Canis lupus familiaris: one gene and its partner. The protein of the gene in region 2 purifies or fractionates together with the protein of the main gene of each other region. This does not show direct contact. Links are inferred from orthologs where the notes say so. Each region holds a gene or a part of one and is shown on either strand. Other genes may lie near its edges.

Region 1 (4,467 bases), on a different chromosome or scaffold from region 2:
GGAACTTCATTGACACTCAATGGCTTTTCATCTTCTAATACAATTGATATGTCCATAGTATGTGGTGACTCTGGGAGGATATAAAAGTATGATTAAGTTCATAGTTTAATTTTCTAATTAACAGTCAAACTGATTGGCTTTGTAAGGCATCCCATTCAAAAGCATTTATTTCATCCAATTAAAAAGGGCTTCTCATGGCAAAGAAACAATATTTCACTCTGGTTTTAGTACCTCAGTCCACTTTTTTTTTAAGTATGTATTTATTCATGAGAGACAGAGAGAGGCAGAGACACAGGCAGAGGAAGAAGCAGGCTCCATGCAGGGAGCCTGACGCGCGACTCGATCCCGGGACTCCAGGATCACACCCTGGGCCCAAGGCTGGCGCTAAACCGCTGAGCCACCCAGGGATCCCCAGTCCACTTGGTTTTAATCAACAAGAGAAAATACTGCTAGGCCACTAAAAGAGTGTGCTTGAAAATGTATTATTATGTTTAAGTATCAATCATATTCCATGAGAGAAGAGCAAATGGCACAGTGATTCTGCAAAGACAGTTAAAATCCAAGTTTTGTGGTATTATGTAGTATTTACCTTAAGAGTGCTGACCCCAAAGTCTGACATATTCAAAGAACAATGTAGCAATAACTAAAAGCAGGGTTAATGTTAATTAAAATTAGGTTTGTTATGAGCAATTCAAACAAATTAACACTATAATCACCAAATGTTTCATGTTTTGTAATTTTAAATTACTTTTTGAGGCAAAGAATATCATTCATTACTCTTTTCAAGTTTCATTGTAAGGTTAAAGTTTGTTATAAATTTTCAAGAAAAATACAAAAATTACTTTATTTCCAAAGGATTTTCCTGCTATTCCCAGACCACTTCTCAGAACTAAAACCTAAATGAGATGAAACGAATGAATTATCCAGTGACTCAACAGACCTATCTATGTATGGTAAAGAAGTTGCACGCATAAACTGTTGGCAGAGCTTGCTTTATAGCAGCTACTTCATTTTATATGTGGTTAGCTGCAGTCATGATTCAACTCTTGCCTCACAGGAGGACAGTGTCCCTCTCTGGTATCAGACTGGATTTACAGAAAATTTTAAGCTGTAAGAGATGTTAGATATCACAATATTGAAAGCTGTATCCTATTCAAATACTCTCGTAAGTGGTATGTACACAGTGAGTTTATGAATACGGTTCAAATCTATTCTCCCAAGCAGGCAAATATTTCCAGGGTCAGATTAAAATAAGGGTTTGAGATCTAATTAAATTGATGTGATTGGCAGTAATATGGGAAGGAAGGAGCACCCAGTTAGGATTTATAGGTCACTAGGTCAATGTATGAGCTGTGAGATCGGAGATGAATCATACCCTTTCTAAACTTTGTTACATTACACCAAATTCATTATATAGTAAGGGTCAGGTAAAATAATGTCTTAAAATGAAACTATCATTAATCCATAATCACTTTAGGATTACATTGATTTGATACAGATGTTCTTTAAAACTTACCAAAACTACCATCCATTGGATAATCAAGAGGTACCAGCGGTTTTCTTGGTCCAGGTAGAGTAATAGCTGAATTAAAAGCCAGGACATTTTCATGTTCTGTTTTTTTAGATTCAGCTGGCCTCTTCTGAGTCTCTTCTTCTGTTTCATCCACATGAATGGTAAATGCAGGCTGTTTACTGTTTGCTTTCCAGGGAGGAATAGTGACTTGTTCATCATTTATAGGAAGATCCTTAAGAGGTGCAACCTAAAAAGAAATGAATAGCTAGCTTTGAGCCTATTAAATGGAGTTCTGCTTGCTTTCTTCCCCTTACGGTTCTCAGTTTCTGTTTTCACTCCCAAATACTCTAAGGAAATTAAACTATCTGGGACAAAATCCAGGCAGTAAAGTTTGAATAGCTGAAGAAAGGGATGTTCAAGTTCGTTAGCGGCATTTCTACATAAGTTATAGAATCACACTAAATGCATTTATGCAAAACTAATCAAGGCCACAAGAGGAGTGGGGTAGCAGGCTGAATGATGACAAGTTTAGGAGAGCCGGCAAAGAGGTGTTGGTTCACCGCTTTGGCCCCAGGGTGGAGCAACAGAGCAAATCCGGTAAAATGGCGGAATTTAGTAAAAAAAAATTATTTTTTATACTCTTTCCTAAAGTAAAGGTAATCTTAACCAAATGGCGAGCAGGAAGGGGGTCCAGATCCTAGGGCAGTGCCTGGGGTTTAAAGCGGCGAAGAAAGCGCGGACATACGTCGTGGTGCTCGGTCTGACCCTCATATTCTATCGGAAAATATACCAAATAAAGAGCAGACAGGGAGCAAAACACACAGCGCTGGCGAAGAGAGCTATGGGAAAGATTTACGTGGCATCCCCCGCGCCAGAACACTAGGCATCAAGGGGACTGCAGACCCAGGCCTCCCTTACAACAGCTCGGAAGATGCTTTCTCGCCACGCTCCCCGGCCTGCTCAAACCTCGTGCAAAACTCCCGCTCGGCCCTCCTCGCCTGCAGATATCGTTCATCTCTTTACCCGCCGTGTCTTGGGCCTCTGCTGCGGCGCTGGGACGCGCTGGTTCCCGGCCTTCAGGACCGCCAACCCGGCCCGGGTCCGGGGCTGCTGGGCGGGCGCCGCCTTCTCGGGGTTGATGTTCTCCTGGTCCTCTTGGAGCGCCGTATGCTGCAACGTTAGCAGCGACGAGCCCGCCTCGCGGGCCTCAGGCCCAGGCTCCGAGCTGCCCAACATCACTGCTCCCCGGGTCGCGGCGGGATCAGCCTGCGGCGCCAAGCAGCGTGTACTGCGTCCCGCCGACCCCGCCGAGAAACGCTCCAGCCGCAGCCGCCCGCGGCAGTCCGGGCCAGCCTGCTCGCTCGGGATCGCGCAGCTCCGAGGACGTTGCGAAAGGCTCAGGCAGGAACTGCCGGGCGTGGAGGGCTCAAGACGCCCCCGAGATGTAGCGAGCAGCCCGCCGGAGCGGCGGCTGTTCGTGCAGTTCAAGTATCCCGCGACTATTGAAATGGGCCAATGGGAAGGGCCGATGCCCCTGACGTCACTCAAGGCGACACGGTCGCAGACAAATGAAGGAAGCCGTGAAGGCCACGGAGCGGGGGCGGAGAAACGCCGAAAGGCGGCGGGAGGGAAAACGCCTGCGCCGGCCAAAGAGGCGGGGCCTGAACTTCTAGTGACTAAACTGGGCCACTTGGTGACCCGAGGGTGCTGGGCCGCGGCTGTCTCTAGGACCGACGGAGTCAAACCCCAGCAATTGTTAGTGGCCGCGCCTGCCTAACGCTGGCCGTGGGGCCCTCAGTTGGCTGGACTGACTGGTCTCCCAAGCTCGGATCCGACCCAGCCGCGAACCGGCCTGGTAGGCGGGCCCCGTGATGACACGTCTCTGATTCTCAGTGTTCTCATCTATTAATTGGGGGTAAAATGCTACATGTCGTATGGCTGTTGTGATTATGTAATGTGCGTAAATCATTAACATGCTTGCTTACTGATCCTCGAGTGTGGACTGTACTGTCATGTATCATTTAGGGGTTTCTTCAGTCATGCTTCCGAATTCACCTCATGAAGATGTGATTAGGTAGGTGCTACCTTAACTACTGTTGATACATATATATAAACAAATAGTAATGTACTGGAAGAAACTCAACTAGACAGTCACTAATTTTGATGCTTTTCCCAGCTGTGCCAGCCAACAAAAAGCACCCAGTGAAATTTCTAGTGACATAGATACAGAATTTTGTTCCATTTGGCAATGAAGGCTGTTTAAATAAAAACAACATGACCTTTTAAAATAAAACTCTCAGTGATATGTGCCTTTAACAAGTTCTCAGATTTAATAAACAAGGCTTGCATATATTAATATAATGGTAAAGAATTAAGAGACCTTGTTTTCTGACAAATTCATGAGGATGCCCTTCTTAAAAACATGATTATATAATCTTTACGCCATTTTAAAACAATCTTCAAACACAATATTCTCCTGAGTATGAAGAAACATGAATTAACATTAGTGAATAAAACTTCTGTAGCTTTAAAGTCTTATTTCCCTCTCTACATGATAAAACAAGTCAGTGGACACTAGTGCAGGAAAATCTAAGAGGCCATCACTATTTCTGCACTATTCACATGTAGTAGCCTTGTACAGTTCTACTGGTTATAGGACAGCAAGTGAAGATCCCTTCAATCTGTGCAGCTCTGCTCATTTCCCTGGCCAAAATTTATAGCACTGAGCATACTCAAGCTCACAAACTGAGCACGGGTCACAAAACATTACCTAGCAAGAGTGAAATCAGTTGCAAATTGGGGGATCCCTGGGTGGTTCAGTGGTTTAGCGCTGCCTTCCGGCCCAGAGTGTGATCCTGGAGACCAGGGATCCAGTCGCACATCAGGCTCCCTGCATGGAGCCTGCTTCTCCCTCTGCCTCTGCCTCTGCCTCTGCCTCTGCCTCTGTGTGTGTG
Region 2 (4,357 bases):
CATGACCAGAACCCAAGGCAGACACATAACTGAGGCACCCAGGTGCCCCCAAAATATCTAATTTGTTAATTTGGGTGTCCCACTACTCAACATTATAGATTTATAGTAGATACGAGTCCTGTATACTGTACAAGTTGCTTTGTTCAGATACAAAGTAAAAAACTCAAGTCCCACAAATATAGGTGTACCTAACCACCTCAAAGACTTAATTTTTATTTATTCATGAGACACAGAGAGGCAGAGACACAGAGGGAGAAGCAGGCTCCCTGTCGGGAGCGGGCTGTAGGACTGGATCCTGGGACTCCAGGATCACGCCCTGGGCGGAAGGCGGGGGGCAAAACCGCTGAGCCATCCAGGCATCCCCAAAGACTTTTTTCAGAAGTTACTGACTTCTATCCAAACGACTTATGTCCAAAACTTTGTTATTTTAAGGAAAAGATGTTCTTTTCAATGTACGTATACATTGTACGTGTACAACTATAACTTCGTAAATTCTGAAAGACAAGTCTGCATCCCTCTTAATTGCAGTAAAAAGGCCTTTATCAATCACAATTCCCAAACCCAGTTTTACTATTCCCAGTGGCAATATGAAGTTATGGAGTTCTCGACACTAACCAAAATTTTTGACCAGTATGAAATATCTAGCTGTGGGTCAGTTGGCTGGGGGGGGGGGGGGGGGGAGAGAAGGGGAATCTGGTCAGTCACATTTTCTGTCAGAAAACTGAACTCCTTACACATAAACACTGAGACGGTCATCAGCTTACATTCTCGGTGACGAGTGAACTACATACCCGTACGTATTATTCACAGAAGCAGTGAGCCTTGGAACTACCACCATGTTTTTAAATCTGCCCTGAGACCTCCAAATCGAATTATGCTATTTCTACCAATTCCAGTGAACTACAGTTGACCCTTGACCACCACGGGGTTGGGGGCCCTGACCCCTCAAACAGTTGAAAACCTATACGTAACACCCGACCCCCCAACACTAATTACTGACGTCATCCTCTGACGCAAAGCCTGACTGGTGGTTACGTGTTGTGCACGTTTCCTTGAGATGCCCCGTGAACGGCCTCATTTCTGCCTTCCACGTCGCTGTCCGCCGGCAGCACACCCTCAGCCCCCCTGTTCCCTCCGCGGGGCCGCCGCTCCCCAACTACGCCGGGGACGGTGTCCACGTGACGGGCGCGCCCGGGGCAACTCAGGACACACGCTCCCCCGAGGGCCGCGGGCCTCAGGCCGACGCTCCTGTCCCGAGACCCCGCGCGGGGACCCGGTCTCGGAGACCGGAAATCCGGCCCGGGTCATGCCACGCTTCCGGGAACACTCCCCGAGGGGCCGCTCTCCGCCCGGACCCTCCGCGCAGCCTGGCCCGGGGCTCCACGGCACGGCCCCGCCCCCGCCCCCGCCCCCGCCCGCAGCGTGCCCCCCGCCTCCCCCGGCCCCGCCCCGCCCCACCCAGTCCCACCCCGCCCCGCCCGTCTCCCCCCCAGGGGCCGGCGCCGGGTCCAGCCGCGCCTACCCCCAGCCGCCGGGCCGCGCTCCGACGCCGCGGCAGCCCCCCAGGGCGCAGCGGAGAGGGAGGGAGCGGGCCCCACAGCCCCGGCCCCGCCCGGCCACCGCGAACAAAGGGCGGGGGACGCGGGGACGCCGGTCCGCACGCCCCGGGGCCCTGGTGCCCCGCCGCCCGCCGCCCTCGGGCCCGACCCGAACCCCCGCCGGCGCGCTGCGACCCCGACGCCGACGCCGACGCCGACCCCGGTTCCGGTTCCGCCCAGCCTCGCGGCCGAGGCCGGTTCTCGTAGTGCTCACCGGTACTCGTAGTGCTCGTCGAAGTACTTGTCCGAGTAGTAGATCTGCTTGTGGGCCATCGTGCGGGCGGCGGGAGCGACGGGGCGCGAAGAGCGGGCGCAGCGGGCCACACGTCCGCGTCAGGCCGAAGCAACGACTCGACTGCGACCAACCGACCGCAGGCCCAACGATCCCGGTTTGAATCCGACAGCCCACCGCTGATTGGACGGAGGCGCCAGCCAATCACCTTCCACGCAAACTGCCAGTAGGCGGAACCGGCTCCCAGCCTATCGTCACCGACCCTCCTCGGCGTTGTCTCCCCCGACCAGCCAATCAGAGACCTGTTGCGGGGTCGCCCTGGGGAAGAAGTGGATGATTGGCAAGGCGTGGCGACGGGTAGCTCCCAGACGGGAAGGGGCGTGGCCAGGGGAGGGCGGAGCCCGGACGTTAAGGGCCTCAGAGCGCGTGCGCAGGGGTTTAGAACGTTCCAGGTCAGCCAGGCCGTTGGGGAGGGCGGACCTGAGGGAAAGGTGAAGTATCGCGGGGTTTGGCGAGGTGCGGGCGGGGCTGCACGACGTGCGGCCGTCTCCGCGCAGGCGCAGTCTCGGTGTCGAGGGGGAGGGAGGGGGTGCTCTCCGCCGCGGGGCCTGGCCTCGGGGTGCGGGAGGTAGCGGCGGCCGCGGCAGGTGGGCGGGCGTGGGAAGGAAGACCTTGGGCGGCGCGGTCGGGAGCCAAGTCGAGCGGAGCGGGCGGCCCGTGGGTGCGGGTCCGAGGCGCCCCGCAGGCGGCGGGCGGGAGCCACGTGCAGGAACTGGGGGCCTTTAGGGCGGGGCGGGGCGGGGGAGGGGGGTCCCCGCAGGCACAGGTGCCTCGGGGCGGGCCACCTACCTGCTGCCGGGGGGCGGGACCGGCTCCCCGCGCCGCCCGGGCTCCGAGCCTGCCGCCCCCGCCCCCGCCCCCGCCCGGTCCAGGTCCAGGTCCAGGGCAGGATGTGCCGAGGGCGAAGATGTGGGCGATTGTTCCGGGAGGTGGGGAGGGGCACCACGGGCTTTGTGGCAGAGCCCGGGAAAGAAGAGCTTCCGGGATGTGTTCTGCGGAGCGGTGTTGAAAGCTTCAGGCGGACGAGTCGGGTAGCGTCAGCTCCCGGTGCCGGTCACCGGCTTCCGCAGCTCCCGCTGTGGCCGTCTCGCTTCCTCCTGCACACCCCACGTCCGAAGAGATCCCGGATACGGGGTCCTCCCGCTTTGAAAGGGCGCTTGTGCAGGCCTCCGCGTTCACGGAGTGCGTCTCCAGAAGAACTTTAAAAGTGCTCAGCTCCGAGCCGCGCTTGCGCCTCAGCCCTCAGCCCCTCGCGGCCCCCCGCTCGCGCCTGCGTTCAGGTCACCCGGCCTCGCAGGGCCTCGCGGCGGCTGGTGAACCCACATCCAAACGTGGGCCTACGCGTCCGGTTCGGTTATTGTCTCTTTTACTCTTTTAAGCGATGCCCTCCCCACCCACGCACACACCACCCTTTATAATAGGGATTCATCCAAAACACCAGGCCATCGGCGTCTGTGGAATACTGGCTCCTTGTGGTCTAATTTACTTTTCCTTGTAATCTAGGTTAAAACCACAGCAACAGCTATTTGTCCAGATCCATTTAGCAAGTGGCGGGCTGCAGACTCGAGCCCCAACAGTCTGAGTCCGCAGTTAGGCCCCTTAACTGCTACTGTGTGCTGTCGCTTATCTTAACAATATGGCATATGCCGGGGACAGAGTGCACAGGACACGGGAAGGAGCGTTGTGGGAAATGAATCCGGGAGGATGGATGTCACAGACCTCAAAACAGCCCCCAGAGATGTCCATGTCCTGATCCCTGGAACCTGGAGATGTGTTGCCTGGACTTGGCAGATGTGACCAAGTTACTTCTGACCTCTAGAACTGTCAGATAATAAATTTGTGTTGTTTTAAGGCACTGAGTCTGTTGTGATGTGTAAAAAGCAAACAAAACACGACCCAGCAGCTGGAAACGAGTGGTAAATTGGGCCAGACTAGGAAGGGATTCCAGACTTCTTCCTATTAAATGTGGTCATTTTGATGAGTGTGGGGCCGGTCAGGCGAGATGTGGCAGAGGGGCTCAGTGAGAAAGACATGGCACTTGATAGGATGAGAGCAGGCGCCCTATCCTGGCAGCAGCCCACTGACAGGCTAATGGTAAAAGTAGCCCCGTGTGGTCCACATCCAGTCACGGAGCCCAGCAGCGTGCTTGGAGAGGCTTCCTCCCTGGGGACGGCACTGATTCTGCTGCTCCAGTGATGACAGTGCCTGCCTGGGAGGCACTACAATGTGGCATAAGCATTTCTTCATTGTCCCTTCTGAGCCTCCACATTATCGCATGAAGAAGGCAAGGTGGATAAAAGCAGTGGAGCTGCAAAGCCCTCCTTGACCAACAGTGTCTGCTCCAAACAAGTTGAAATTCTGAATGTGCATATTGTATGAAAAGCATCTATTCACTGTGTCAATGGAAGAGATTTTAGACAGCCATTCCATGTGTAAGAAGTACGACGAAGTGTGTGATTTAAAATAC

Evidence for each region.
Region 1: the proteins of CKS2 (region 2) and CCNA2 purify together in Homo sapiens (affinity purification with mass spectrometry; 3 studies listed by BioGRID and IntAct, counting the BioPlex papers as one, with this or other methods). This does not show direct contact. The link is inferred for Canis lupus familiaris from reciprocal best matches to the Homo sapiens genes CKS2 and CCNA2.

What each region holds. Positions count from the first base shown.
Region 1 is NC_049240.1:19,143,207-19,147,673, reverse strand, and holds the start of CCNA2 (cyclin-A2), read right to left. Parts: upstream 3,035-4,467; 5' UTR 2,750-3,034; coding exon 2,537-2,749; intron 1,761-2,536; coding exon 1,517-1,760; intron 71-1,516; coding exon 1-70. UniProt on the Homo sapiens protein: Cyclin which controls both the G1/S and the G2/M transition phases of the cell cycle. Functions through the formation of specific serine/threonine protein kinase holoenzyme complexes with the cyclin-dependent protein kinases CDK1 or CDK2.
Region 2 is NC_049222.1:97,648,203-97,652,559, forward strand, and holds the start of CKS2 (cyclin-dependent kinases regulatory subunit 2), read right to left. Parts: upstream 3,090-4,357; 5' UTR 2,680-3,089; intron 2,322-2,679; exon of another isoform or gene 2,149-2,321; 5' UTR 1,872-2,148; coding exon 1,813-1,871; exon of another isoform or gene 1,730-1,812; intron 1-1,729. UniProt on the Homo sapiens protein: Binds to the catalytic subunit of the cyclin dependent kinases and is essential for their biological function.